7 linked regions of the Cricetulus griseus genome follow. The protein of the gene in region 7 purifies or fractionates together with the protein of the main gene of each other region. This does not show direct contact. Links are inferred from orthologs where the notes say so. Each region holds a gene or a part of one and is shown on either strand. Other genes may lie near its edges.

Region 1 (3,500 bases), about 14 Mb from region 7:
TCTGAAAGGAGGGGGAAGCTCTCAGACAATAGAACAACTCCTAATGGTCCTAGATGTCCATGGGAAGTAGAAAGAGAAAGAGTAACTCCACCCTCCAATTCATACAGCTACATTTCAGAGACAAATAAACAGACCTCTGCTAGAAATCAACTGTCATCTACATGACAATGTGTTGAACCCTTTCGGTGGACTTGAGAATGTGAGCTGTTCAAATTTCCCTGGGTACAAGTTCAGCAATAAGAGAACAGATCCAAGGGACTAATTTCAAATGGTTTGTAATCACCTTAGTTTTCTGCAAATTTGTCCCCTACTTATCATGGACCAGGAGGATCCCTTGTGAGATTTTTCTTTGAGAACCATTTGCTTTAACTCAGAATCAACAGAGAAACCAGGGCAGTCCTAACATACTTTTCATCTACTTCTCCTTCCCAAAGTTTGTCATATCTCCAGTACTCCAGCTGCTCTAGCCCAGTCCAATCTCTCATTGCCTCACTCTCATATGGGACTAACTAAGGAGTCCCTATGGCTGCCCTGGGAGGCCTGGCTTTGTTTGCAAGCTTTTATGTGTTCTAGCAATCAGAAAAAGAACACACTACTGAGTATTCACTGCCACATTTTTACCAAAGGCTTCAGGTAGTATCTGCTTCTTCAAGTACGTAAGAGTGAGCAGGTATGCATACATACCAATATTTATTAATTTCCTTAAAATAAAGACATCTATTATTACACTGTTGCAAGCATTAATGTGGTTTCTGTGCTTCAGAGCTACACCATTCCTTAGTCATAATTCCCGCTTTAATATTCTTTTACTATCATTTATTTCAAAATCAGCCATATTTTTGTTTCCAAATATTCATTATGGCCATAAATTTAGCACTTATTTGAAACTGATCAATAGTTTTCAAAGGACAGTACGCCACACTGGAGACAGAGGCAGGCAGATCTCTGTGAGTTTGAGGCCAGCCTGGTCTACAAAGAGAGTTTCAGGACAGTCTCCAAACTTACAGAGAAATCCTGTCTCCAAAAACCAAAAAAAAAAAAAAAAAAAAAAAGTTACTAAAAATGCAGTAGTTTAATTTTAATAATAGACAATAAACTGGAATGACCCACTGACTCACTGGATGAAAGTACTTTCCACCAAGCCCAATAACCTGAGTTTGTCCCCCAGGATCCATGACTTCTGTGGATGGCAGGCAGGCATGCACCGCCCCCCCACCACACACACACTTTTTTTTTTTTTTATTAAAGTAACAATTTCATACCATTAAGAAGGCAAATAAATAACCTTCCAAATTCCAGGTGAACAGTCCCAGAATTGCAGAATGGTAACTGTATCTCTTAATGGCAGCTCTATCTTCCTAAGAATGGTGTCTTAGCTGGGTGGTGATGGCACATTGCCTTTAATCCCAGCACTTGAGATATAGGGGCAGGCAAATCTGTGAGTTCAAGGCCAGCCTGGTCTACAGAAAGAATTCCATGACCAGTCAAAGCTATACAGAGAAACTCTGTCTCAACTGTCCCCCCCCCAAAAAAAAACAAAAAAAAGGTGTCCTACTTTCTTTTTTGTAAAGTCTTTTTTTTTTTTTTTTTTTTTTTTTGGTTTTTCGAGACAGAACAGGGTTTCTCTGTGGCTTTGGAAGCTGTCCTGGCACTAGTGCTTGTAGACCAGGCTGGTCTCGAAGTCACAGAGATCCGCCAGCCTCTGCCTCCCGAGTGCTGGGATTAAAGGCGTGTGCCACCACCACCCGGCTGGTGTCCTACTTTCTACCTTCCAAGCTCACAAAAAAGCCAAGTATCATCCTATAGGAGAGGATTCTTTGAAATCTATACAACTGTGGAAGTGACTTATAAAGCAAGCTCCAATTCATCTACACTAAAACTATGTGGTCAGATAGACACCAAGCTCAACAATCTTCATTAGGCTGCAATCTGGAACAGCATTCACACTATCCCAAATTTTTAACAAATTAAGCCAAATGTGTCAACTAGTTAATTAAATAAATTAGCAAAAGTGATTTATTAAGATTTCTTAAGGTAAGCAATGACATTACCTGATCCCGATCCTGACGTTGTCATATCATAAATTAAATCTTTTAAGGTGGTACCCTCTGAAATGAAAGGGCGATCTAGTGATGGATCCTCTTCATTTGGCACTCGATGATGAATGACAGTGCGGTTATGGCAGATATAGACCATCAGCATAAGTGCAATACAGACGAAGCAGACCGGACCAGCAATGACAGCTGCCAGCTCCACAGGACCAAGGCCAGAGGACTGCTTTTCTGCAAAAGGTCCTCAAATGAAATAAACATCAACAAGAACAAAAAAAAAACTGTAGGTGGCACCCACATTTTCTAAGCCCTCCATATTTCCCCACATATTCACTACTGTCACTTAGTCACAGAGCCTCATCACACAGGACTCAAGCCAGAACAAGCTCCCCATTCTGTCTTCTTTCTATTCTGTCTTCTCTCCTTGGCCTCCCTTTTTGGACCTTAAGCTCTGTCAGTACCTTCTGACTCTTCCTATGCATCCCCAATCCATCTCGTAATTCATCAATGAGCTGATGAGCTAACCCACACCCTAGACCTCCCTCCTATTTATCACCTCAGACAAACTAGTCAGGGAACCAATAGTTTGAAACAAGCACTTTGGCTTTATCTTCTTATTCCAAGTGCACAGCAGGTTTATAGCAGAGAAAAAATATATAAATACAGTTAATAAGCTTTTACAAATTATTTCCTTGTGATCCTGCAAAGGCTCATATTTTAGTATATACAGTTCCACCAACTTTTAAAAGTCAAACACTTCCCTGTTTACATTTTAATCTATTTATTTATTTATTTATTTATTTATTTATTTATTTATTTATAAATTCCCTGCCCCCTTTTTTGTGAGACATAGGCTGGCCTCAAACTTGGGATTCTCCAACCTCTGCCTTCCAGCACTGGGATTAGAAACCCTTAAAGTTTTTAAAATAGTTTGTGCAATACATTCTTTCTAAACTATTTTTGCCAACTGCATTTTTAATTACAAATTATTTTCTTATACTCTCTTAATAAATTAATATTTGCTCATTTCAAAAACACATTAACATATACATATATATGTGTCAACAATTTTAAAAAAGGAGGCTATGAATTTAAAAGAGAGATCAAGGAGAATATGAGAGGGCTTGGAAGAAGGAAAGGGAAGGGACAGTGTGATATTATAATCTCAAATGTAGTATTTAAAAATGCACTAATTATAATTATTTTGGCATTTACCAAGCTTTATTTTGTTAGATGCTCCCCACCATATTATTTCATTTCTGACATCTTCATTTAGATTAATTTCTTATCATACAGAATTCTATTTCTAGCAATTTCTTTCAGGAAGAGTATTTAAATCCTTATACACTGCATATTTAATTAGTTATATGAAGACAGCTATTATCTTTGTATATGAAAAGTCTTTGTTTACTTTAAGAATTTTGGTGACAACCAATATGTAATATTTTA
Region 2 (3,500 bases), on a different chromosome or scaffold from region 7:
ATATACTAGATAAACATACCATCACTGAAACACAACCCTAGTTCTAGATGTGTTTTTGATTTCCCCAGAATGACTTTAAAAATGCATGCTAGACAAAAATGATTTCTTTAACTTTGTTATTACTGCCAAATTCATACCAAGTAATGTAGCTCTTAATTTCAAGCATATTTATGAATACATGTAGTATTCTTCTGCCTTGTAATCCTCGACACACAAAACAGATGATGTTACGACATCAGAGAATAAGGACTCACCGGGTATTCTAAATGAAACCTTGTATTTTTGAAATATATTGCCTGGACTGACAAATGAGATCTAAAAATACAAAACACAAGGGACAGCAGAGCTAGGTATGGTAGTAAACACCTTTCATTTCACCACTCTGGAGGCAGAGGCAGGAAGGTGTCTATGAGTTCAAGGCCAGCCTGGACTTCATAGTGAGTTTCAGGACAGCCAGAGATACACAGATAAACCCTGTTCCATAATACTCCCCCCACCAAAAATTAAATCTATAATGTGCTATGGGATTTAGAAGACCTTGTTTACATTTCTAGTTCTATTAATAATTTATAATGTCACATGCTTTAATCCCAGCACTCAGGAGGCAAAGGCAGGCAGATCTCTCTGAGTTCGAGGCCAGCCTGGTCTACAGAGGGACTTTCAGGATAGCCAGGGTTACATATAGAGGAACTCTGTCTTGAAAAAAAAACAAAATAACAACAACAACAACAAAATTTATAATGTGGCCATGGGTAGATCATATAACCTCCCTGTTTCTTCAGTTGAAAAGTAGGAATAACTGCTAGAGCTGTAACTCAGAGTACTTATCATGAGAAAGGCTCCGGGCTCAATCACCAGCACCAACAAACAATAATAAACATCATCACAGGATCTGCTTTTAGCCTCATGTGGGGGCACAAACTACAATCTCAGCACTTAAAAGACGGAGGCAAAAAGATAGAGAGGTCCAGCCAGTCTGGCCTGAGATGGCTCAGAGTTCCTGGCAGTTACTTGGTGGCTCACAACCACTTATAACTCCAGTTCCAGGGGATCTGAAATCCTCTTCTTGCTCTCCTTTTCTTTTTTTGGTTTTCTCTGTGTTACAGCCCTGGCTGTCCTTGAACTTGGTCTGTAGACCAGGCTGCCAGAGAACTCAAGAGATCTGCCTGCCTCTGACTTCCAAGTGCTGGGATTAAAGGCGTCACCACCACCACCCAGCAACACCTGGCCTTTTATTGACATCCTCACTACAGAAATATATGACATAAAATTATAAACACCTCATAAATTTATAGCAACCTCATTAAACATACTATAATAATTTGGCCAAAAAATTAAACAGATTTATTTTAATAAGAATATTTACCAATTCTTTTAGTTAGTGAAGGTGTTTTTTCAGCAGTTCTTACCTAAAATAGAAATATGAATGGTAAGAATTCACTTTAGTAGAAAGCAATTACCTCAATTTGAAAACTTAATACACTCAAAACAAACTGGCTTTATTCTAATTTAAAACATGACTATTCACAAGGGTGAAGCCTGGTGGAACACAAGGAAGTTAAGACTAATCCAATATCACTTCTTTACAGACAAGAAGGTGAGGGTCAATGAGATAAAATGACTTTCTGTAGGGGAAACAAACACAAACTAAACTAAAAAAATTAACAGTAGAACCATTAGGTCAACTCTAAACTCTGATTCCAGTTCAGGGTTCTTCCCACATTTTACTAATGCTTTGACTACCCTTGTCCCATGTATCTATTCAGACACATTTTCGTATTTTTTTGTCCCAGGGCCTTGTTTATGATAGCCAGATAAGGTATAACTGATACATATCTCCAGCCTTAATTTTGCAATTTCAAATACTATGGCTCAGCAGTTGAGAACACTTGCTCAGGCATGCACACAGGCACGCATACATTCACACTAAATCAATCAATCAATGTTTTTTTATATAAGGTGAAAACTGCCAGGCATGGTGGCAGACTCCTTTAATCTCAGCACTCAGGAGGCAAAGGCAGGCACATCTCGTGGGTTTACAAAGCCAGCCCTGTCTTTTTTTAAAGGTAGAAACTATTTGTGAGTGGAAAGTACATTACACAAAAGCCTGATTTCTGAGAGCTAAATGATTTCAGTATTTTAAGTTCTTCACACCCATTCTGTTCACAGTGATACATTATTTTGCTTTGATCTTTTCAAAAATTTGCTTCAGGGTTAAGAATTAGAAGGTTTCTTGAAGTTCTCCCCTTTAAAGTTTACTATACATTAATTATAGTAGTATACCATGCATTTCACTGGAAGAAATCATTAGAAAAACAAAATAACAGGCAACTTACCAAAGATTCTCCAAGTGAATGGGTTAAATGAATATTATTTATATATTCTTGCCCCTTCTCATCCAATAGATATTTACACCTAAAAGATTAAAGACATTAAACTCTATTAGCTGATAAATTAGTGAAGTATTAGTAAAGCCAGTCCTCCTGTGATTCAAGCTAGTCTCAAACTTGCTATTTAGCCAAGGATGACCTCAGACATCTAATCCTCCTCCTCCATATCTCAATTGCTGGGATTACAGGCAGCAATAGGCACAAATTACCCTAGTCTGTTAAAAATACAGCCTTTTCTTTGAGATAGGGTCTTGACAAATTGCCCAGGCTGGCGTCGATTGAGCTTTCTAACCTAGACAGGCCTTGAAACTTCCTATCTTATCAGACTCCTAAGTAGCTGAGATTAAAGGCCTTAGCGTCACTGTTTCTGGGGAGCCACAAAGCAAACTGCTACAAAATTCCTTATAAAGCTTTCATTTCAAGGCTAAAATAATGCTCCTATTTTCCACCCTATCAATATCAATTTTCAAGCAAGAGTTACTAAATTAGCCAATTTTGGTGGTATATGCCTGTAATCCCAGCACTTGGGAGGCTGAATAGGAAGGCTACATGAAAACCAGGCTAGCCTGGACTACATAGACAGAACCTGTCCCCCAAAAGAAAGGAAAACTAGCCAAAAAAGTCATTAGACAGGTATGGGGGTAAATATCTGAAATATATGCACTTAGGGGGTTAAGCCAAGAATATCAGAAGTTTAGAACCACCATTGGCTACATAGTGAATTCTTGCTAGAGCCAGCTCCAAGAGTCCCTGTCTCAAAGAAGAAACAAACAAAAAGGCAGGCATGATACCACACCTCTATAATACTCAAGACGCAGAAGCTGGAATATTGCCACAAGTTTTAGGTCCAGCCTGGTCTACATAGGAAGTTATGGCCAGTTTAGGCTACATATAACAAGACTATAATAAACACAAGAAAATCCAAAACTGCTAACAGGCAAAAAAAAAAAAAGCTATTAAATTAGTATTTTCACACTGATCTTTTTTTTGGGGGGGGAGGGAATTGAGATAGGGTTTCTCTGTGTAGCCCTGACGATCCATAGACCAGGCTGGCCTCAAACTCAGAGATCCACCTTCTTCTGCCTCCTGAGTGCTGGGATTAAAGGCATT
Region 3 (4,279 bases), on a different chromosome or scaffold from region 7:
AAATAAAAAGAGGTCTTGTCAAAATTAATTTCCCAGAACTAGAAGTATATCTCAGCAATGGAGTACTTGCCAAACATTCACCAGACTCTGGATCCCCAGCAGTACCCAAAAAAGTGAGTCTCCCAAATCCACTTCTATCCACAACTTCCCTTACTATCAGTTGAAAACAAATCCATCCCCCAACTATCAGGACAAAAAATTTGAGCATTTCTGAGTTTTTGCTTGCTTGTTCGATTAGTTTTTCTGTTCCTTTATCTTCCCCCCTGCCCATCTTTTTAATTCATGAAGACACACTATAACATTAGGTATTTTAAGTGTGATCATGGTGTTGTAGTTATGTTTATTGAGAGTACTTTCTGAAAGAGATACATAATGAAACACTCACATGTCTGAAATTCACTGCATAACAAAAGAGATACCTATGGATAAACCCAATAGAAATGAAAACACATGTCCATATATAAATGATCACAGCAGCATTATTCAAAGCAGCCAGAGTGGAAACAATCCAAATGTCCACCAACTGATGAATAAGCAAAATCTGTTACAAAAACAAGAACACATGCTCCAAATAATTGCTAAGAGAAAGAAATGTCACTAAAAGCTATATACTGTATATACTTACAAGCATAAGAAATATCCAAAACATGTAAATCCTGACAGAAAGTAGTTTAGTGGTTACTTAGAGAAATGAGGTGGATTGGAGTTTCTTATTTAGGATTTCTTTTAGGGATGATGACAATGTTCCGCAATTAGTGATGTTTTCACACTCCTATGAACCCACTAAAAACCACTGAATTATACACCTTAAATACGTGAATTGTAGCCAGATGTGGTGGTGTACTTCTGTAAATCCTAGTACTTAGGAAGTAAAAGCAGGAGGATGAGAAACTCAAAAAGAAGGGATCTTCATGAGACTCTCTCCAAAAATTTTGAATTATGGGCAAGTGACACATCTCAGTGGATAACTATTGGTATGCAAGCCTGGAAACCTGAGAACACATTCTGGCCATGACACTCCACACACATCATGCATACACACACACAAATAGTAAATATTTTTAGTTTTTAAATGTGAATGGTGCAGCATGCAAATTATGTCTCAAGAAAGCTGTTTTTGAAAATTATAATGGGTGGAGCAAAAAAGATGATTACTCAGTGGTTAAGAGCACTTGCTGTTGTTGCAGAGACAGTTCCCAGCACCCACATGGTGGCTCACAAACATCTGCAACTCCAATCCAAGGGGACCTCACACCTTCTCCTGAATTCCTTTAGCAACAGGCAAGCATGTAGTACACATACATACTCACAGCCAAAACACCCACACACATAAAATAACATCTTTTCTAAAGAGGAAAAAAAATCATGGTAGAGTACTGTAAGGGCTGTGAATTAAAGTTAGCTATGAGTTGATAGAGACAACTAAGAAATGTGTACATGGAACTTACTATGTTAATATTTCTACTTTTGTACATTTTTAAAGTTTTCAGTAATAAAAGGCTGACAGCACTATCATCCTTCACATGGATTACTGCAATAATCTCTTTACAGATCACCATGCTTTCTTCCCTTGCCTTTTACAATCAATTGACCCCACTGGGACCAGTTACATCAAAGATAACTTTGACTGTTTCTCCCTTTTATCGTGAACCCTTCAAAAACAAAGGCAAAGTCGGTACACTTGAAAAAGCTGAGGCAGGAGAATCTTGTGCTCGTGGTCTGCCTGGCCTACATTTCGAGATGCTGTTTCAGAAAACAAAGTTTCATCAACAGAAAAATGTCTGTGAACTAAGAGTTCTAGCACTTGGGGCCAAGCCCTTAGGCGACAGATAAGCAGAGGGAAGGACAGAAATCAGTCCAAGTAAGCTGGGTCGCGAATCTGCACTTCTTGAATAAATGCTCTAAAAAGCATTCGAAAGCATGCAACAGAACAAACTGGGCCCAAGGTGGGGGGAAGGGGGCTCAGGAGCCTCGGAAGCTGCATAATGGCCACCGATGGAGCCCTATCTTTGGAGAAGAGGACTACACCTGTCAGCAGAGTCGGCCAGAAGTGAAGAGGGCCTGAGCAGCGGAACCCGACCTCTCAGATTGAATCGGAGCTCTCAGAAAGTCCTGGTTGGGCGGTCACCCTTCCCTTCTCGGCTGTGGAAACCCCTGCTTCCGGCTTCCGGTGTCGTAAGTGTGGGATCCGGAAGTAAAACACAGACTCGAAGTCGAGGAGATTAACTGGAGCTGCGAAGCCACAATAGTGCTGCATCCCACTCTGAAGAGAAGCCTCAGACCGCCAGCCTGCATTGGCTAACCGAAGAGCGCAACGCTCTTCACTGATAAAGATCACACACACACTCACACACACACACACTTACACACTTTTTTTTTTTTGATACAGGGTCTCTCTCCTAGCTATCCAGATCTACCTGCCTCTGCTTCCCGGGTGCTTGGAATTAAAGGCGTGTGTCACCTCGCCCACAGTTGTCCCCACCCCATTTTCAAGGCGTCGCATTCGCAATGAAACACCCCAGTTTTAGTCTGGTTCTGTCACTGGGCTCTCTGCCACCAGGTCCCTACCATGGAAAAAGCCTAGAAGAAGCTGCTAAAGGACGCCAAACCGATTGCAAGGGGAGGCGTGGCTATGCTGCTAACGGAAGTGGGGTCATCCAGGAGTGCGCAGGGACTCGAGGGTCCATCGGAAAACAGACCATAAAGTATGGCTGGGGTAGCGATGGGGACGCAGGAGAACTGTGCGGAGCTGTATCTGTGCCAGCAAAGCATCACGATCGCGGAGCAGGAAAGCAGGGACGGCCAACAGGGTGGGGCTGACAAGGGATGCGTGCGCACCTACTTCTGCTACTCTCCCCTCCCTCACCGATGGAGTAGTCCGAAGCTCCTCCTCTCCTGCCTCTCCTGAGGCGGGTCAGCTCAGTCAAAGCACCCGCCCTCCTGCGTTAAACGAGCCAGCTAAGCGCAGCCCCCGGAAACGAGCTGTGCACTCCAGAACTGTAAACCTGTTTGGCAGCAGCAACTAAACACAGGTAAAGGGGGTGGTCTGATAGCACACCGGTGGAGGGATGTGCTTCCCGCTTATGAGCCGCGTGTCCCTTTGATGAGCGCTATTTGTTATGCTTGGATATGGAAAAAGATCTACGAGGTCTTAACCCATCCCATTGTACCCCGCACTTCCCCGCATTAGGCCCATGAGGACTAGACTTTTAGAAGAGAAGGGTCTTTCTGGGATCATTTAGCTTGGCCAGCAGAGAGCTGGGGCTGAACTCCATCATCTGCACAATGAAAAGATGCTCAGTTCATTGTGGCGTTTCTGGCAGAGACTGGAGTGCGATGGCCCCAGACACAGTGCGATGCTCTGACCGCGTCGCTTTCCCAGAGTGGATTCCCTAGCTGAATTCCATTAATGCTTATAGAGATTTCGTAATGTACAGCCCCCAGAGAAGACAACATAGGATATGGCTGGAGCCCAGAAGCAGCAGTTTCTGATTCTGATAAGGTTAAGTTGTCAATGCTCTTCTGTTCTCCTGCCTTATCAATGAGTCTTTCTTCCACCAGAAAACACCATGGCAGAGCAGGTGGCCCTGAGCCGGACCCAGGTGTGTGGCATCCTGAGGGAAGAGTTGTACCAGGGTGATGCCTTCCACCAAGCTGATACACATATATTTATCATCATGGGTGCATCGGTGAGTCTCCCCTCAGGCCCTGAGTGTAAAAAAATCAAATGTAGCATTTTGCAAGGCACTTCTCTCTCTTTACCTGAACTTTCCCAACTGACTGCTAAGGGGCCACACAGGTTCTAATTTGAACTCACGGCATATGTTCCCACCTGTGTGTCCTGATCATCACAGCAGTCAGTACCTGCTGTACATCATGTACTTCTGTCAAATTTCTCATTTGCAAGGCTTTTCAGAAATCTATGTTCAGCCATTAAATGTGGGCCAGACTTGGAGCATGCAAGTTCTAAAGCACCATCTACTTGAACTTCTTCCTCCTGGATGGAAAAAAAAAAACTGAGGTGCAACCAGGAAGTGCTATTCAGTCTATATGTTTTCCAAATCTGTAATTTGACAAATGTTACAGTTGCTTTCAGTGAAAGGATCTGAGGTCCTGCCTCTGCCTCTTTTCTCTCTATTGCATGAAGTTCCCTGGAGGCAAACACCTACTCTTTACCACATCTTCCAGAGCCTACTGCAGATTTCTGTTGATTCCACCTGGTTCCCAGTTGTCTAACTAAAACAACTACCAATATGCTCTGTTAGGAAAAACTGAAGAA
Region 4 (4,031 bases), on a different chromosome or scaffold from region 7:
GGAAAGTCATTTGCCACTAAGCTGGACCACTTGAATTTGAAGTTCAGGATTCACATCGTGGAAGGAGAAAACCAACTCCAAAGTTGTCCTCTGACAGCCACACCTGTGCCAGCATGGTCTCAATAATAAATAAATAAATAAATAAATAAATGATAAAATTTAAGAAGAATAAAAATAAATCCTCTCAAATGTCAAGTAACTGAAAAGTAAATATTGAGAAACATACTTTTAAAAAAGGTTGGAATGACAAAAACCTCATTCATGCATGAACTCACTGTTTTAAAACAATTTAAAAAGGATATTCCTACATTAACTTAAAATAATCTCAAGTGGTCCCAACCAATAGCTAACTCAAACTATCTAGATGAATAAAATGACCACTCAATTAATTAGTGCAATTAAATAAAAATTAACTGTGCTCTGAAATACAGACTACACCCAGTGCAGTTCCCACACAAGACACGTTAGAAGTGAGAAAGGAAGAAAACCAAAGCGCGTGTTTCTAACGAATCATGAATGTTATTAACCTTTGCATTTAAAGATGGTTAAAATACACCATTTCTGTAGAAACCCCAAAGTAAAAGCTGTCAGAAGACTGTTCAGCACATACCGGACAGCTGGGAGAGAGGCAAACAGAAAATGGTTAAGTGAAAATACGACAGAGTAAGAATGTCCCAGCAGAATATTTTTCAAGTCATACCTTGAATTGATTCGGGCACCAAGAGTAGGAACTACTACAATTCTATAATAATAATAATAATAATAATAACCACATAGCAAACACTAACAGCAAGAAGGGGAGGGACAAAATTCTTAAATACATGTTAACTTTTCCCTTGTCCTCTACCCTAAGAAAATGGAAAGACAATGAAAATCAGCACTCTCTCCTACTCCTAGGGAAGGCAAAGAAAGTGCCCATTCAACGCTCAGTCTCAGTCCGCTGGGAAAAAAAAAAAAATCCCCAAACCACCAGTTCCCAACTGCAGCTTGCAGAGTTGACTGAACGGCAGGCAGCCAGGCGCGGTACACAGTGTCCCGAGCCCTGCACGACCTGTGCCTCCCACAGCTTTCGCCACCGCCGCTGCCGCCGCCGAAACCCCTGTGTAAAGAGCAGGGCGCGAGCGCTCCCCCCGGCTCACCCACAGCGAGGACGGTGAAGATGACCACAGCGCAGTGCGCTCCCTTCGCTTCTGGCGGACACGCACTTTCTCTCACACACACGTTAAACTCACGCCGGGTTCCGAGTAGGGGGCTTTGGCCGGGACGGTGGTTGTGATGTCCCAGGGCAGAAGGGAAGGAGACTCCAACACAACTTTCATTTCTTTATTATTGGGAGGGAGTGTGAGCATGTGTGCGTGTGTGTGAGCGTGTGTGAGCATGAGCATGCGTGTGTGTGTGTGTGTGTGTGTGTGTGAGCGTGTGTGAGCATGAGCATGTGTGTGAGAGCGTGTGTGTATGTGTGTGTGTGTGTGAGCGTGTGTGAGCATGAGCATGCGTGTGTGTGTGTGCGCGTGTGTGAGCATGAGCATGTGTGTGTGTGAGAGAGAGCATGTGTATGTGTGTGTGAGCGTGTGAGCATGAGCATGCGTGTGTGTGTGTGTGTGTGAGCATGAGCATGTGTGTGTGAGCGTGTGTGTGTGTGTGTGTGTGTGTGTGTGTGTGTGTGTGTATGTCTTATACACGTGGAGGTCAGAGGACAACTCTCGGGAGCCGGTTCGCCTCAGACCACCTCGGTTCCGGGGATCTAACTCAGGTCGTCACACTTGGCGACAAGCGCCTGTGCCCGCTCTACCACCTCGGAGGCGCCGAAAGCAACTTTTAATTGGCTTTTGTTTGTTTGTTTTCCCCTCTCGCTCTACCTCCGCGCCCCCCGGTCACCTGCCGGCCCGGAGCGGCGGGCCGGCCGGGCAGGTGAGGGCGGCGCGCCCGCGCGGCACGCCCAGGCGCCCTGCGGATCGCTGCACCGCGCCGCGGCGCGGGCCCCCGCGGGGCCCGGGGTCTCCCGCACGTCCCGTCCACGCCGCCCCGGGGAAGCCGCGCGAGGGGCGGCGGAGGCGCGATCGCCGGCGCACGGCTGACTCCCGGGTCCACCGAGCGCGCGCAAGCTCGCGCCCCATCCCCGCGGCCATGGCGCCCGTACCTGTCGCCGTCGCCGCCGCCGCCGCCGCGTCTCGGGCTCCGCGTCTCTCCGCCCCCGCGCGCGCCGCTCAGCCGCCCTCTCTGCCCGGCCAGCAGGCCGCCGGTCCGCACGCTCCGCGAGCTCAGCCGCGCGCCGGACGCCGCCGCCGGAGACTGGCAGCGCCCGCGAGCCGGCTAGTGCGCCGGGCAGCGCCCGGCTTCGTCCCGCCCACACCGGCCGCAGGACCCGCCTCCCATAGGGCCGCGGGGCTGTCAATCCGCCCCCAAAAGGCGCGCGGGCTGTGGCCCCGCCGGTCCCCATTGGTGGCCGCGCGCGGTCTATGCAAATGAGGCCCCGCCCCGTCGGTTTGCATCCCCGCCCCTCCGCTGCCGCGGCCCACGTGTCTGGCCCCTGGCCTTTGTGGGGGCCGGAGAGCGGGGATGGAGGAAGCCGGCCGACACCTCTCGGCGGCGTCCTTGGCCTCCAGACTAAGCGCCGCCAAGTCTCTGCCCCGCCTGCTGCCCACCCAGCCCGCCCTTCACCAGCCTGGACCCCGGACAGCAACCTCGTGAGCTCGAAGATGCTCCTTAGACCCCGGGAAAAGCCAAAACAGCACCTCGCTGCTCTCTCGGGACGCCCGGTGGGTGTGGCCGCGCTCTCCCCCGGGGCTCTGCCTCCCCTGCGCAGTAGCCCAGGGGACGGCGACACAGAGGAGCCCCAAGGATGGGCTGCTGAGCCCGCTCAGCTTCAAGACCACACCCCTCCCCCAGCCACGTGGCCAACCCGGGGTGACTGCCTCCGACATTCGGGAGCTGCACCTGGGGACTTGAGCGCGAACCTTCGTTTTCTAATTTTTTTTTTTTTTAAGAGCGCGTTTGAGTGCCCGCCTGCTGTGTGTCTGCGCACTGCGTGGGTGCGGTGGCCCGCAGAGGCCGGAAGAGGGCGTCGGATCTCCCAGGACTGGAGCTGTGAGCTGCCAAGGGCGTGCTGCGGGTGCCACCCAGGTCCTCTGAGAGAGGGCCGGTGAGTGCTAGGCTCTCGCTCTCCTTCCCTCCCTCCCCTTCCTCCTCTCTTCTGTCTCTCTCTCCCTCCCTCCCTCCCTCCCTCCCTCCCTCCCTCTCCCTCTTCCTCCTCCTCTCCTCTGTCTCTCTCTGCTTTTATTTTAGTTATTTATTTTTGTTTCTTTTGCATTGTCATACTTTAGAATATTTGAAGGCCTTCTATATGTCACCATGCCGGGGGATGGTATGGTCATTCCTTTCCTCTCTTCATAGACCTCTGCAGAAAAGACAAAACTGACACAGGAACCTCCTCTTGAGCAGGGGTCCTGTCTCAGTGACGGGAAACTTCCCCTTAACCAGCCTCCCAGGGGAGCCACAAGCTGCTCACATGAATTCGGTCAACAGCGCCATGTGGATAGCAACCGTCCTGCTCACTGATGCCAGCTGGTTTTGCATCTAGTGGGCAAGAACTGCACCCTGTGTGGAGGAGGGCGCACGGAGGTGAGAAGGCACCGTACCAGCCCGTGACAGCTCCGGGCTCACAGGCAGGGACATCCACACTTGAGTAACCCCCAGTTAGTTCTGTGGCACGTGTCTACAAAGAAGAGTGAAGAAGGGCTCTCCCAGAAGGTGGGAAGCTGTGAGCTCACAAAGCATGCAGACCTGGAACGGCTTAGGAACTGAGTGAACAGCTAGGGGCAGTGTGGGCCAATCTGCAGGGTTGTGTGGACTTGTCACATGTTCCGAGAGGAGACTCTTCCAGGAGGAAGAAAAGCCCGGGAGGCTGCCAGGCCATGTTGTAACACACCACAGCAAACAACAACAGGCGCTGTAGATACAGCAGCTGCCGGCTTTTTTTTTTTTTTTTTTTTCTTCTGGGCCAGAGTATGTGGGGGAACAGTCAGTTCTAC
Region 5 (4,241 bases), on a different chromosome or scaffold from region 7:
GGTGAACTGAAGCGGACAGAGGCAAAGGAAAATGGGAAGGCAACCACTGCTAAACAATGAAAGCACATTGGGGAAGATGGGCTGCATGCACGCACTAGGAAGGAAGGTGTGGGCGGTGGCGTCGGAGACCTTGGCCAGAGCCGGCAAAGAAAGGAGAGGAACATTTACAGAGCACGGAGTGGCCATTCTCTCCTGGTGGGCTCATCAGCCCAACTCGCTTCCAGAGGCGGCCTTGGAAAATGGCAAGGCTAGACGGACAGGCGAGGCCTGGACAGACAGCCCAGTGGGAAGGCAGGGCGGAGGTACTAGCGCAATTTGGTTCTGGCACCTGGAACTGGGCCAACCCGTGACTAGCATCTTCACGCAGCTGCCTAGAGCTCCCGCTAATCTGATAAGATGGAGATCTCCCTCTCCCTAGGTCCAAAGAGCTGCAGGAGGCAAGAGTGCTAGAAAAAGGGAAACCAGCTTGAGAAGCAGCTTGCAGTGCTCGCAAAGGGAGGGCGCACGGCCCCGTGCGCCTTGTCCGTGGGCCACCTCGGAGGCTGGGGGGTGGGGAGTGTCCCACCCATCAGTGTGGGGTCCCCGGTCTGTTCACAGAAAGGTGTCCGCAGTCACTCACCCCCGCAGATCACGTGCCCTGCGACCGATCCAGGTCAGCCATCCCTCTCTCTGGGCGCCATCCCGCGTTCCACCCCCGCCCCCCCCCGCAGCAATGTGGGGCTCCCAGGGCCGGGGTCGTCTAACCATAGCGCACAGTAGGAGCATTGGGGGGGGGGACACAGTTCGGCATTAAGAGCCGGGCAGTAGGTAGCGCCTAGCCGAGCGGCTGCCCCCGCCGCAGCGGGGGGAGGTGGAGCCTCGGGGGGAGGGGTTGAGACCGCCGAGACAGCCCTAGAAACTGCTGGAAGAAATCGCAGTACCGCCGGCGTTGCTCCTTCCGCCGCGCGCCGCCAAAGAGTCCCTGGCAGCCCAGGCCCGCGCCCCTCCCGCCCGAGCAGCTGCTCGCCGCCTGCAGCTGCGGCCCCGTTCCGGAGGGTGGGCATCGGGACCCCCTCCAGCTGGACAGCGAATGTCCCACTGTCCTGCTCTCTCCATGTAGGGAACACTCTGGGAGGTGGGCTCAGAGAACGGCAGCCGAGTTAGCCATCTCGGTGCTCTTGCGAGTCGGGGGTGGAGGCGCCTGCCTCGAGGTTTCTGGGGGAGTCGGCGGGATATCCGCGCGTGGACACATCCCTAGCAGCATAAGCGCACCCCGTGGCCCTCATCTTGCCATGGCCTTGTCCTGGTCGTGCAGGAGAGGCCTCGGCTCGCCGCACAGGCCCCGGGTCGCCCCCCCTCCCGCCCCCAGTTGCTACCATGACGTCAAGGTGGGCGGGCGGCGGCAGGTGCGGGCGGCGGCCCCGCCCCCTGAGGCGGAGGGATCCAAGGGCGGGGCCGAGCTGTGCTTCGCCTTATATAGGGCGGTCGGGGGCGTCTGGGAGCTCTCTTGAGTCACCCCCGCGCACACTAACCTCCGCGTGCGAGTCGGTCGCGCTCCGAGCCCACCCGGCCCTGTACTACTACTCGGCTTTCCTGTCAAGGTAAGGCCGCGGCCTCCGGCCCTGCGGCTTCCCGGGGCTCGTTCCCCGGGCTCTCCCCCCCCATTCGCATCCGTCCTAGAAGGTCCCCGCCCAGCCGGGCGGCCTGTGGGCTGGTGTACCCCGAGCTGCTTGCGTCTGGCCCCGCGGGGTGGCTCGGCGAGGCTCCTTGGGGCCCCGGGTTGGGGCCCCGGCGCGTGAGGTGGGGGCGCGGCCCAGCTGTGTGCAAGGCAGCCGCACGTGGTAGGCGCCGACCTGGGACGCTGCCATGTTTGCCCTCCACTTCCGGGCGCAGCTGCAGGGTCCGAAGGGGCCGCGCGGTGGCGGGCTCCGCGGCGTGACTCAGCACGGCCCTGTGAGGCTGGCCTGGCCGCCTCCTTTGGACGCCTTTCCCAACGTGGTTGGGGTTCTTGGGCGTGGGGGTCGTCCACGGGGTGGCAGGGACGCTTGAGCGCACTGCCATTTGCCTTTCCAGATCTTTCCTGCGCTCCGGGGAAGGAGGAGGAGGAACCCGGAGGGGGCTGGCACGGGAAGATCCATTGGTCCCTCCCCTACCCCTCCCCTACTCCTCCCCGCCCTGGAGCTCAGATTGTTCTGGAAGCTCCTGGTGCCCCGCCCCAGTGCCCGGATGCTGGGGCAGTGGGAGGGTTGCGGTGGCGCCCCCTCCCCGATGGCTGCCGCCGACGCGTGTCCGGCAGTGACGAGGGTCGCTGGAAGGCTCGGGCCACCATTTTACTTGTGTTCAGGGCTATGCAAGTCTGCGCAGTGAGAGAGGTCATGGTGGAGCTTTTACCTCTTTGTCCTGGTTTAATTGCTCCTTGAGTGCCTCCATGACTGCAGCCTCGGGTTCCCTGCTCCTGCTAGGATGGAGCGGCACATAGAAATGGCTGCTGTTTCTGTTAGTTTCTTTTTTGCCCAAATAAAGTTGTAAAGGGTTTCCTGTATATGTTCACCGGGTAGCTAACGAATTATCATTTCTTGAATTTTAACAAGGTATGTTGTCGGGTTGAGCCTGTTTGAGCTGTAGTATACCGTTTTGGCTGCGTTTGTTTGAAGAACCATCCATCCTTTGAGTTTTTTCCGTTTTCGGTTTACCAGCTTACTGTAGCTTTTCAAGGTCTTTTTAAAAATGGCGGTTCTCATCCCTTGGGAATGGATACTACTCAGCTTAAAGCATTTTGAATTGGAGTTTAAAGTGCATCCATCGTTTTAGTAATTAATGTGTAATGCTTTCTTAGATGCCTGAGGAGGTGCACCATGGCGAGGAAGAGGTGGAGACCTTTGCCTTCCAGGCAGAAATCGCCCAGCTCATGTCCTTGATCATAAATACTTTCTACTCAAACAAGGAGATTTTCCTTCGAGAATTGATCTCCAATGCTTCTGATGTGAGTATCACAGCTTCATAGAAGCCCAGTGAGGGATTGAGAGGAGTCTGCCGTGGGTTGAGAGCCAAGACAATGTTTGCAGAAATGGAATAATGTGGCTGTGTGTTTATTTACAGGCCTTGGACAAGATTCGCTATGAGAGCCTGACAGACCCTTCCAAATTGGACAGCGGCAAAGAGCTGAAGATTGACATCATCCCCAACCCTCAGGAGCGCACGCTGACTTTGGTGGACACGGGCATTGGCATGACCAAAGCTGATCTCATAAATAACTTGGGAACCATTGCTAAGTCTGGCACAAAGGCTTTCATGGAGGCTCTCCAGGTGTGTGGCCCTATATCCACAACATTCTCAATACTGCTTTTGACTTGTTAATTTTTCAGTACTTGTTTTCACTAGTGATATGGTAGGCTTTTAACCTATGGAGATCAGAGGATTACTGGCCAGTAGGTCCCAGGGATTGAACTACTTGATAGTTACACTTGAGTTCAGCAAGCACTTGTGCAGAACCATTTTACTTACCTCTTAACTTTTAAAATCCTTTGGCAGGCTGGTGCAGACATATCCATGATTGGGCAGTTTGGTGTTGGATTCTACTCTGCCTATCTCGTGGCAGAGAAAGTGGTTGTGATCACAAAGCACAATGATGACGAGCAGTATGCTTGGGAGTCCTCTGCTGGTGGATCCTTCACAGTGCGTGCAGACCATGGTAAGCTGCCTGTCCTCGTTTGGATGCTTGGTAGAATTCTCTGGAGGATAGAAAGTCCAAAGTCTTGATCATGCACTGTTTAATCTCAGCACTTTGGAGGCAGAGGCAGATGGATCTCTTGTTTTAGGACAGCCTGGGCTACATAGAAGCCCTGTGTCAAAATGGGGAGCAGGGGGTTGAGTATTTTGGTTGTAGTTTTTTTGTTTGTTTTTTTTTTCTTCATTGTGGTTTTTTGAGACAGGGTTTTTCCTGTGGCTTTGGAGGCTGTCCTGGAACTAGCTCTTGTAGACCAGGCTGGTCTTGAACTCAGAGATCCTCCTGCCAGGATTAAAGGCGTGCACCACCCCACCGCCCAGCTTAGTTGTAGTTTTCTATGTCTTGATTCTATCATTCACTTTTTTATAGGTGAGCCCATTGGCCGGGGTACCAAAGTCATCCTTCATCTCAAAGAAGACCAGACAGAGTACTTAGAGGAGAGGAGGGTCAAGGAAGTGGTGAAGAAACACTCGCAGTTCATAGGCTATCCCATCACCCTCTATGTGAGTATGGACTTGGCAGTATTTGAGCAGTC
Region 6 (4,281 bases), on a different chromosome or scaffold from region 7:
GTGAAATGTCCTGCCAGGGAAATGTCTTTCTTCCTATTTTATAAATTAGACAAGTCAAGGCCCAGGAGGGAAATGATTTGCCTCAAGCTAAGAAGCTTTAAAAAAAAAAAAAAAGCCAGATTGCAGTCATACTCCACCTAGACTTGCCAAAGTCCTTCAATTTAGAGGTCTCTGACCCAAGGCCCTAAGACTGGCAGGGTTTAGTAAGAATAGGATTTGGTGACTCGGTGGTAAAGTATAGTATAGAGAGATATGAATGCCAAGCTAAGAATGCTTTTCTGTAAGTAATGGGGAGTCACAGCAAACTTTGGAGAAGGAAATAAGAGGTTGTCAAATTAGCCGGGTGTTGGTGGCGCACGCCTTTAATCCCAGCACTTGGGAGGCAGAGGCAGGTGGATCTCTGTGAGTTCGAGGCCAGCCTGGTCTTCAGGGTAAGTGCCAGGACAGCCTCCAAAGCTACACAGAGAAACCCTGTCTCAAAAAACCAAAAAAAAAAAAAAAGGTTGCCAAATATAGATAGGGCTGGGGATAGCTCAATGGGTGGAATGCTTGCCTAGCTTGCACAGTGCTCTGGTTTCAATTCCTAGCACCACATAAATGCAGTCTATAATCTCAGAACTTGGGAAGAATGAAGACCAGGAGCTCAAGGTCATCCTCAGCTACTTAGGGAGATAGAGGCCAGCATGAGACCCTCTCTCAAAAAGAAAAAAAAAAAAAGCCAAATACATGTCGGGCATTGGTGGCACACGCCTTTAATCCCAGCACTCGGGAGGCAGAGGCAGGAGGATCTCTGTTAGTTCGAAGCCAGCCGGGTCTTCAAAGAAAGTTCCAGGAAAGTCTTCAAAAATACAGAGAAACCCTGCCTGGAAAAACAAAAACAAAGATAAATAAATAAATAAAGTCAAATACAAGGACCAATTAGAATTTAATGAGTCCATTAAAGTTGGTATTCTCTAGACCTATCCGGAGATTCTGCCTCTTTAGGTGTAGGATTCCTCCTGCTATCTCCTATTTTCTTTTCTCTCTTCTCCTTCTCCCCCTCCCTCCCTCCTTCCTTCCCTCTTTCTTCTTTTTGTTGATCTGGAGACAAGGTCTCATGTAACCCAGGCTGGCTTCCCTACCTCTACCTCTGGAGTGCTGGGATTAGAGGTGTGTGCCACTCCACCTGACTCAGTGTGTGTCATACACGTGTTCTCCAGTAGCTCTGATACACAGCTTGAGTGAGGCTTCTCTGATCTGCTTAAGACAGAGGGCTGTCAACAAAACCCCTCCCTCCTCTTAATCTGCAGTTTCTTCTATCTGTGGCCTTGCACCCAGACAGAAACACAGGCCTTCCTTCCATCAGACACAAAGCAATTGCTTTTCAGAGGTAAGCACCCCTGTGAGGAACATCTCTTTTACTTTGAGTACTTCTTCTGTGTGGGCAGAGGCAGGTCTAGAGGGAAACAGTCAGGATGCAGGCTGACAATACACAGGAACCTGGCATACATCCTGGCTCTTCCAGTCATCACCTCTATAAAACAGAGCTCATTTGTCAGAACCTACTCAGAAGGTTGATTTGGAGAACTAAAAAGATAAAGCGCTGTAAAATGCTTGACAGAGGCTGGCCAGCTCTTGATATGAGTTAGCGATTATTGTTATTTGAAAAAAGGCAAGGGGACTGGAACTAGCTCTTGTAGACCAGCCTGGGTCTTGAACTCACAGAAATCCACCTGCCGCTGCCTCTGGAGTGCTGGAATTAAAGGCGTTCGCTACCACCCGGCTCCTGTTTTGCATTGTTAACTTCCATCATGATCCCATAGCCTACCAAGCAGTGTCTTCAGGGTAGAGATGGGGCCAAAAGGAGGCACAGGGAAAGGAGGAGGAATCTGTGTCTGGAGGAAGAGTTTCATGGGAAGTGCAGGTATCCAGGCAGGCAAAGACCAAAAGGGATCAGGTCTGTTCAGCCATCAAGGTCCATAAATTCCTCTCTCAGAGACTACACTTTCTCATCTGTAGCACAAGAGCAAGCTGCAGCTTAGTGATAGTTTGCTATATCTACAGTTAGGAAGATGGGTTCAAATTCCGGCCCGGCCACCTACCAGCTGTGTGCCCTTGGGCCAGTCACTTCCCCTCACAGCATCTTTGTGAAGATTGAAATGAAATACTGCCCATGAAAAGGCTTGGCACCACCTGCCTGCCTGACACTTGGTAAGTGCTGGGTACCAGACTATGTACTTTACAAAAATCCCTTCTTTCAGATAACCTTTGGGGCTGTGACTTAGTATCAACCCTGTCTTCAAAATGGGGAAACAGAGGCACAGGAAAGTTCAGCAATTTGCAAAAGCAGGATTGGGACCAAGGAGTTTTGTGCAGAATCAGAGTTCTTTCCCCTACACCTACACACAGTAGGTGTTTTTCAGGCTCTTTTTCTCATCTGGTTAGAAACTCTGTTGAGCAGTTAAGAATTGTCTCAGGAATTTTATGAGAAACAGAAAGATCAAATAATTATGAACAGATACGGGTTTGGTCAATTTTGTCTTTCATCCGGGAAGGTAACAAGAAACAAAGAGGAAGGAGCCCTGGAGAGGGCAGATGGTGCCATGGTTTTGGCTGACCTGAGGAGGGGGTTACCCAAAGCACATCACTCCTGGACTAGGGAGCCTCACCCCAGGACGATGAGTTCACCATACTTGATGGGTTCCTCGCCTGGCAGTGCTTCTTCACCAGGAGAAGAGAGGATGCAAGAGCCCTTGCTCCCTGGGTGCTGGAGGTCCGAGGTCCGAGGGGATCCCACGTCAGGGTTTCCTTCCAGCACCATTCTGAGCAGAGTGGGAGAGGAGAAAAGAACTCTGAAGCATCCCACACCAGCTCCTGTCTAGCTCAGGCAAGCTGCCTTAAGCCAAGGCAAGCGTGGTCCTTCAACACTTATTATTATAACTACTTCTGTTCCCCATAAACGGTGAGATTGCTGGATTGCCAGGGAGGCAGACTGATGAGACAAGGCAAACAAAGAAATGGCAAAGTCAGAGGGTCAGGATATTTGATGGGGCCAGTGGAATATAACAACTTTGGAGAGAATATGCTTGGCAGAGGGGCAGCCAGGTCTTAAGGAGCTTTACTTCTCAGACTTAGTTCCTGGCTTAGGCTTTTAACCCAACACCTCAGTTACCCCTTCTTATCAGGTTCTTGGATCTATATGTTCATGCTAATCTTTCTGCCTTTTTGCAGGTCTAGGCCTCTGTCGGTCTGTCTGCTCTCAATGACTCTCTGTCCTCCCAGCACTGTCCTTTTCTGCCTTTTCTCTTCCCAAACTCTATTCCCCCCTTCTCCTATCAATCTTTCTTCCTCTTGTCATCCACCTTACTCAGTCTCCCCATCTTGGCCTGGCATTGAAAGCAGGCCTCCAATTCCCTCCCGGGTGCGCGTCCCCTCCCTCCCTCAGGTGTCTGTCTGCGGTCCTCAGGCCGCTCTGGTCCCAGGAGGCCTGTGGGGGCTGCGCTCCCCAGTCGGGCTTCCCCTGCAGCACAGCGGGTGTCCCGCAGGCTGCCTATTTAACAACCCCAACGCCGGAGGGTCTGCGCCGAGGGAGGCTCGCACCCCGCGCTGCGCTCGGGACGGGCACGACGACGGCCCAGCGCATACGCAGATACACAAGCCGGCGGCCCCTCGCAAACAGGCGCGCGCGCGCAGACACAGTCCCGCACACCCCTAGCACCGCGGGCTGTGCCCAGGCGGGCGCAGCACACCAGACATGCTACTGCAGGGACGCGCCCACGCGCCAACAGCCACAGGCGCTAGCCCTCAGACCCGCTCCCCTAACCTCGCCACCACCAGAAACGCAAACACGCCCCCCCGCACACTCACGGCGCAGACCCCCTTCCACCGCACCTCCACCTCTCAGGCCTCACCTGGCTGCGCTCCGGGGCTCTCTGGGAGCTGCTCGCCCCCACCCGCCTCTCCCTTGCTGCGCCCCGGGACTGCAGCGGCGGGACGAGCTCGGCCCGCGGCTGCTCGGTGCAGCCTCGTCGCGGGGACACTCGGGGACCGGAGGAGGGAAGGTTGCGCACACAAACCTCCACGCTCCACCCCCTGCCCCCGCCTCCCCCTCAGGGCCCGCCCCCTATAGAGCCCCGCCTTACCCTGAGGCTCCGCCTCCTGCGGTTTAGCCTAGCAGCAATCGGCAATGCCAAGAGCTTTTCGGGAGCCCGAGCCTTTTTCTGGGCCCCGCCCCTGGAACCAACGAAGTCCCTCCCGCCATTCCCTACGAGGGACTCCCTATCCCCTCCTGGCTAGTGGAGG
Region 7 (3,500 bases):
CAAGAGGACCCAGGTTCAATCCCCAGCACCCACAGAAGGTTCACAAAGGTCTGTGACTTCAGAAGTTGGGTTCCCGATGACTTCTTCTGACCTCTCTGGGCATTGCAACACATGGTACACAGACATACATAGAGGCAAAAGATCATTCATGCACATAAAATAAAAACAAATAAACCTTTTTCAAAAAGAAATTGAAAACTTACAGAAATATAAAGGTGTTTTAAATTATGCCTGTAAAAGAGATCAGTCTGCACACAGAAGAAAAAAGGCCAATGTATTTTGTTGAAAAGGTAGAAAATTACTGGCTTTCTCATGTAGATTTTGAGTATATTATTTATATTTATTTCATTAAACTCTATTTTGAAAACATTTAAGAAAGTAATTGTTTAATTCTTCCTGTGACAGTCTCTTATCCAAAATATCCATTCCTTTAAAAATTTTGAAACTAGTTATTTCTGTGATTCCTGTGGAACAGGTCTCAAGATGACAATGCCTTTTTTTGTAGGTAGTAATTACAGTGAAAAGTGTGATGTCTTCAGCTGGGGTATTATCCTTTGGGAAGTGATAACACGCCGGAAACCCTTTGATGAGATCGGTGGCCCAGCTTTCCGAATCATGTGGGCTGTTCATAATGGTTTGTCAAAAGAAATTTTTCTTTAATATATTGTGTATATTTCATATTTGGAAAACTGCCCCCATCCTCTTCCCCAGAGACTATGTATATCTGACACTGAAATGTAGACTTATTTGTTACCAGACCACCTTACTTTAGCACTCTATATACCTTTGTCTCTGGTTCTGGTGGGGAGAATTTAGACTCCTCTGCATAGGCCTGAGGCTGCCAACTGCACTGATTAGAGAAAGACCATCAGTACTTAGCCAGCACCTTTATCTCTCTCAGGGCTAGAGAAGCACTGCGGCAAAGTAGATAAATGAAATCTCTCATATCGTTAAGATAGCTGGGATGCTAGGCCCCTTTCTCCTGGGAAAACAACTCTCAAGCAAAACTGCTGGTAAGAGTTGTTTCTTAAGCTCAAAAGGACACAATATTCAGTGCTGCACACATGTTTTAGTTGTATATTCTCAACCATGCGTACAGTGCTAACATCACAAGTAATAAGTGTTGGAGCTGGAATCCACATGCAGGTCCTTTGGATTCAAGTGCTCCTACTTTTCATCAGGGTGACTTAATGTTATGTCTCTCTGACTTCCATAAATGTGTTCAGATAGCTTCCTCACTAGTAGGTCCTTCACAGTTTCTTTGATAAAGAAACTCTATAAGGAACTACAGCATCACTGTTACTTCACGTGCTTCTAATCGTTCCAGTGAATAAGTGCTTGTATACTAGTCTACAGGTGATCAAAGAAAAAACACCTAACTCTTTAGAGCTTTTGTAGGCTGGCCAAACAAAACCATCAGAGTAATCTTGGCTGTTTTACCAGTTTCCTCTGCCAGCTTTGTTACATCCTATAGTGTCGTAGAAAATACAGGAGCTTTCCAAGACAGTTTGCTTCCTCTGGCTATCAGTTCTCAGCAAGTGATTGTCAGTGAGGTAACAGAGTAAAAGAACTAGCGTATTGATTGATTAACCTATAAAGATCTTACTGTATCTGGAGCCACTCTTGAGTGTGGGAAGCTTACCAGTGCCACTGCAGGGTTAATAAATTATAAAAAGTTGGCACTTTCTGTCCTGTAAAATAGTTAACTGCAACCAGTGAGTGTAACAGTACAGCAGAGGAAAGTTGGTAAGTATAACATTGTAGGTGAAGGAAGTCAGTGAGTGCAACAACATGGTTGAAAATGTCAGTGAGTGTGACACCCTGAGGGAAGTCAGTGAGTCTAATACTGGTTGGCTGAAGTAAGTTAAGTGTGATACCAGAGTTAAGGAAAAACAGTGAGTGTGACACCATAGTTTAGGAAAACAGTGAGTGTGACACCAGAGTTGAGGGAAAACTGAGTGTGATACCACAGCTGAAGAAAACAGTGAGTGTGACACCATAGTTGAGGGAAGTTGTGAGAGTGATACCATGGTTGAGGGAAGTCAATGAGCATTACACTGTGTTTGATCACTTTCTGTAAATGGAAGATTTTTTTTCAAATGCATTTAATATTTTATAATCTGAAAATTCATCTTTCCTCAAGTCAGCTACTTATTTTTCCTAATGCATGCATTTGGCCTTTGCTCTTTGAAAGAATGCATATGACAGTTTGGTTTGGGTTTTGAGACAGAGTCCCACTCACTATGCAGCCCTGTGTGTTCTGCTGGCCTCTGCCTCACAAGCACTGGTTAAAGGCATACATCTAGCCCAAGCAAGCAGTCTTAGTCTCACTGTTCTTATCACCTGTGTTACAAATTTAATGTAGTTTTTGGTATAGTTTGCCCTTTGTGAAAATATATATAGATACAATACATGGTAAACTAAAAGAGAAAAAATGCTAGTTCAGATATTGTTGGAAATAAACTATAAAAATCTTGCAGTGTTCTTTGGGTAGATAATTCTTTTATTCCTCTAATTTTCAATTATAGGTACTCGACCACCACTGATCAAAAACTTACCTAAGCCCATCGAGAGTCTGATGACCCGCTGTTGGTCTAAAGATCCTTCTCAGCGCCCTTCAATGGAAGAAATTGTGAAAATAATGACTCACTTGATGCGGGTATAACCCTTCTTTTGAGGGGCCTTGGGTTTGGGGGACTTTACTATATACTGAGTTTTATTGGACTTTTAAAATGAAAGAATGGGAACTATTTCCTGCATTATACTTTCCTGTGTTTTTAAAGTCAGAATAGGCATTTATTTATTTATTACTTGTATTATCAGAAGAGAAAACATTACCTTAGAAAAATGTTTGTCTCTGTAATGACAAGATGGCTAGACAGGTTTCTAGGATTGCTGTCTTTACTAACATTTATAGATAAATATTTGGTTCCAGAGTGTGTGAGAGATGCTGATATAGGGTATGTGAGGCTTGTCAGTGCCTACATAGATATGATTAATAACATGCTTAACTAAGTTTGTCAGATTTTCATCAAAATACAGTCATTTCTACAGTATGCTGGGGATGTATTTTAAGAGATGTATTTGAGTAATTTTAATGATTCCCATTTTGGCTTTTGATTGAATGTTTTCAGATGGCAATAAAATCTAAGCTTTTTCTAGGCTTGATGGAATCTTTTAATTTAGAAGAACCCTTTTAAAAAGCTAATCAAATTCCCTACTCTACAAATCTTACACTTTAGGGTTACTTCAAATATTTTAAGGTAATTTTTTCCTTTATTGAAAATAGGTTTTATTTTGTAACAAGAGCCATAAATGGTAGCTTTAACTTTGTACACATAAACTTTAAGTTATGTAAGTCAAATTAATAACTATTCACCTATGTTTTGTCTAATTTGAAAAAAATCTCACCCTAAATTTTATTTGTATTGTTCAGTAAATAATTTCAGTATTATGTCCCCAGTTCATAGAGCCGGGGGCTTCCATAAGGTGTGTTCTTA

What was found.
Region 1: the proteins of Map3k7 (region 7) and Tgfbr1 purify together in Homo sapiens (affinity purification with western blotting; 3 studies listed by BioGRID). This does not show direct contact. The link is inferred for Cricetulus griseus from reciprocal best matches to the Homo sapiens genes MAP3K7 and TGFBR1.
Region 2: the proteins of Map3k7 (region 7) and Xiap purify together in Homo sapiens (affinity purification with western blotting; 3 studies listed by BioGRID). This does not show direct contact. The link is inferred for Cricetulus griseus from reciprocal best matches to the Homo sapiens genes MAP3K7 and XIAP.
Region 3: the proteins of Map3k7 (region 7) and Ikbkg purify together in Homo sapiens (affinity purification with western blotting; 8 studies listed by BioGRID and IntAct, with this or other methods). This does not show direct contact. The link is inferred for Cricetulus griseus from reciprocal best matches to the Homo sapiens genes MAP3K7 and IKBKG.
Region 4: the proteins of Map3k7 (region 7) and Fkbp5 purify together in Homo sapiens (affinity purification with mass spectrometry; 4 studies listed by BioGRID and IntAct, with this or other methods). This does not show direct contact. The link is inferred for Cricetulus griseus from reciprocal best matches to the Homo sapiens genes MAP3K7 and FKBP5.
Region 5: the proteins of Map3k7 (region 7) and heat shock protein HSP 90-beta purify together in Homo sapiens (affinity purification with mass spectrometry; 3 studies listed by BioGRID and IntAct, with this or other methods). This does not show direct contact. The link is inferred for Cricetulus griseus from reciprocal best matches to the Homo sapiens genes MAP3K7 and HSP90AB1.
Region 6: the proteins of Map3k7 (region 7) and Peli3 purify together in Homo sapiens (affinity purification with western blotting; 3 studies listed by BioGRID and IntAct, with this or other methods). This does not show direct contact. The link is inferred for Cricetulus griseus from reciprocal best matches to the Homo sapiens genes MAP3K7 and PELI3.

Annotation. Positions count from the first base shown.
Region 1 is NC_048595.1:96,028,356-96,031,855, forward strand, and holds part of Tgfbr1 (TGF-beta receptor type-1), read right to left. Parts: intron 2,295-3,500; coding exon 2,052-2,294; intron 1-2,051. UniProt on the Homo sapiens protein: Transmembrane serine/threonine kinase forming with the TGF-beta type II serine/threonine kinase receptor, TGFBR2, the non-promiscuous receptor for the TGF-beta cytokines TGFB1, TGFB2 and TGFB3.
Region 2 is NC_048604.1:25,906,938-25,910,437, forward strand, and holds part of Xiap (baculoviral IAP repeat-containing protein 4), read right to left. Parts: intron 2,416-3,500; coding exon 2,337-2,415; intron 1,410-2,336; coding exon 1,367-1,409; intron 1-1,366.
Region 3 is NC_048604.1:1,290,595-1,294,873, forward strand, and holds the start of Ikbkg (NF-kappa-B essential modulator), read right to left. Parts: upstream 2,801-4,279; 5' UTR 2,703-2,800; coding exon 2,700-2,702; intron 2,183-2,699; exon of another isoform or gene 2,029-2,182; intron 1-2,028. Other genes in the region: G6pd (glucose-6-phosphate 1-dehydrogenase), read left to right, coding at 3,570-3,689. UniProt on the Homo sapiens protein: Regulatory subunit of the IKK core complex which phosphorylates inhibitors of NF-kappa-B thus leading to the dissociation of the inhibitor/NF-kappa-B complex and ultimately the degradation of the inhibitor.
Region 4 is NW_023276806.1:233,602,980-233,607,010, forward strand, and holds the start of Fkbp5 (peptidyl-prolyl cis-trans isomerase FKBP5), read right to left. Parts: upstream 2,801-4,031; 5' UTR 2,685-2,800; exon of another isoform or gene 2,517-2,684; intron 2,286-2,516; exon of another isoform or gene 2,141-2,285; intron 1-2,140. UniProt on the Homo sapiens protein: Immunophilin protein with PPIase and co-chaperone activities. Component of unligated steroid receptors heterocomplexes through interaction with heat-shock protein 90 (HSP90).
Region 5 is NW_023276807.1:31,888,691-31,892,931, reverse strand, and holds the start of heat shock protein HSP 90-beta, read left to right. Parts: upstream 1-1,441; 5' UTR 1,442-1,580; intron 1,581-2,815; coding exon 2,816-2,962; intron 2,963-3,078; coding exon 3,079-3,285; intron 3,286-3,510; coding exon 3,511-3,670; intron 3,671-4,075; coding exon 4,076-4,209; intron 4,210-4,241. UniProt on the Homo sapiens protein: Molecular chaperone that promotes the maturation, structural maintenance and proper regulation of specific target proteins involved for instance in cell cycle control and signal transduction. Undergoes a functional cycle linked to its ATPase activity.
Region 6 is NC_048596.1:54,341,456-54,345,736, reverse strand, and holds the start of Peli3 (E3 ubiquitin-protein ligase pellino homolog 3), read right to left. Parts: upstream 2,801-4,281; coding exon 2,649-2,800; intron 1-2,648. UniProt on the Homo sapiens protein: E3 ubiquitin ligase catalyzing the covalent attachment of ubiquitin moieties onto substrate proteins. Involved in the TLR and IL-1 signaling pathways via interaction with the complex containing IRAK kinases and TRAF6.
Region 7 is NC_048595.1:110,090,241-110,093,740, reverse strand, and holds part of Map3k7 (mitogen-activated protein kinase kinase kinase 7), read left to right. Parts: intron 1-505; coding exon 506-634; intron 635-2,528; coding exon 2,529-2,659; intron 2,660-3,500. UniProt on the Homo sapiens protein: Serine/threonine kinase which acts as an essential component of the MAP kinase signal transduction pathway. Plays an important role in the cascades of cellular responses evoked by changes in the environment.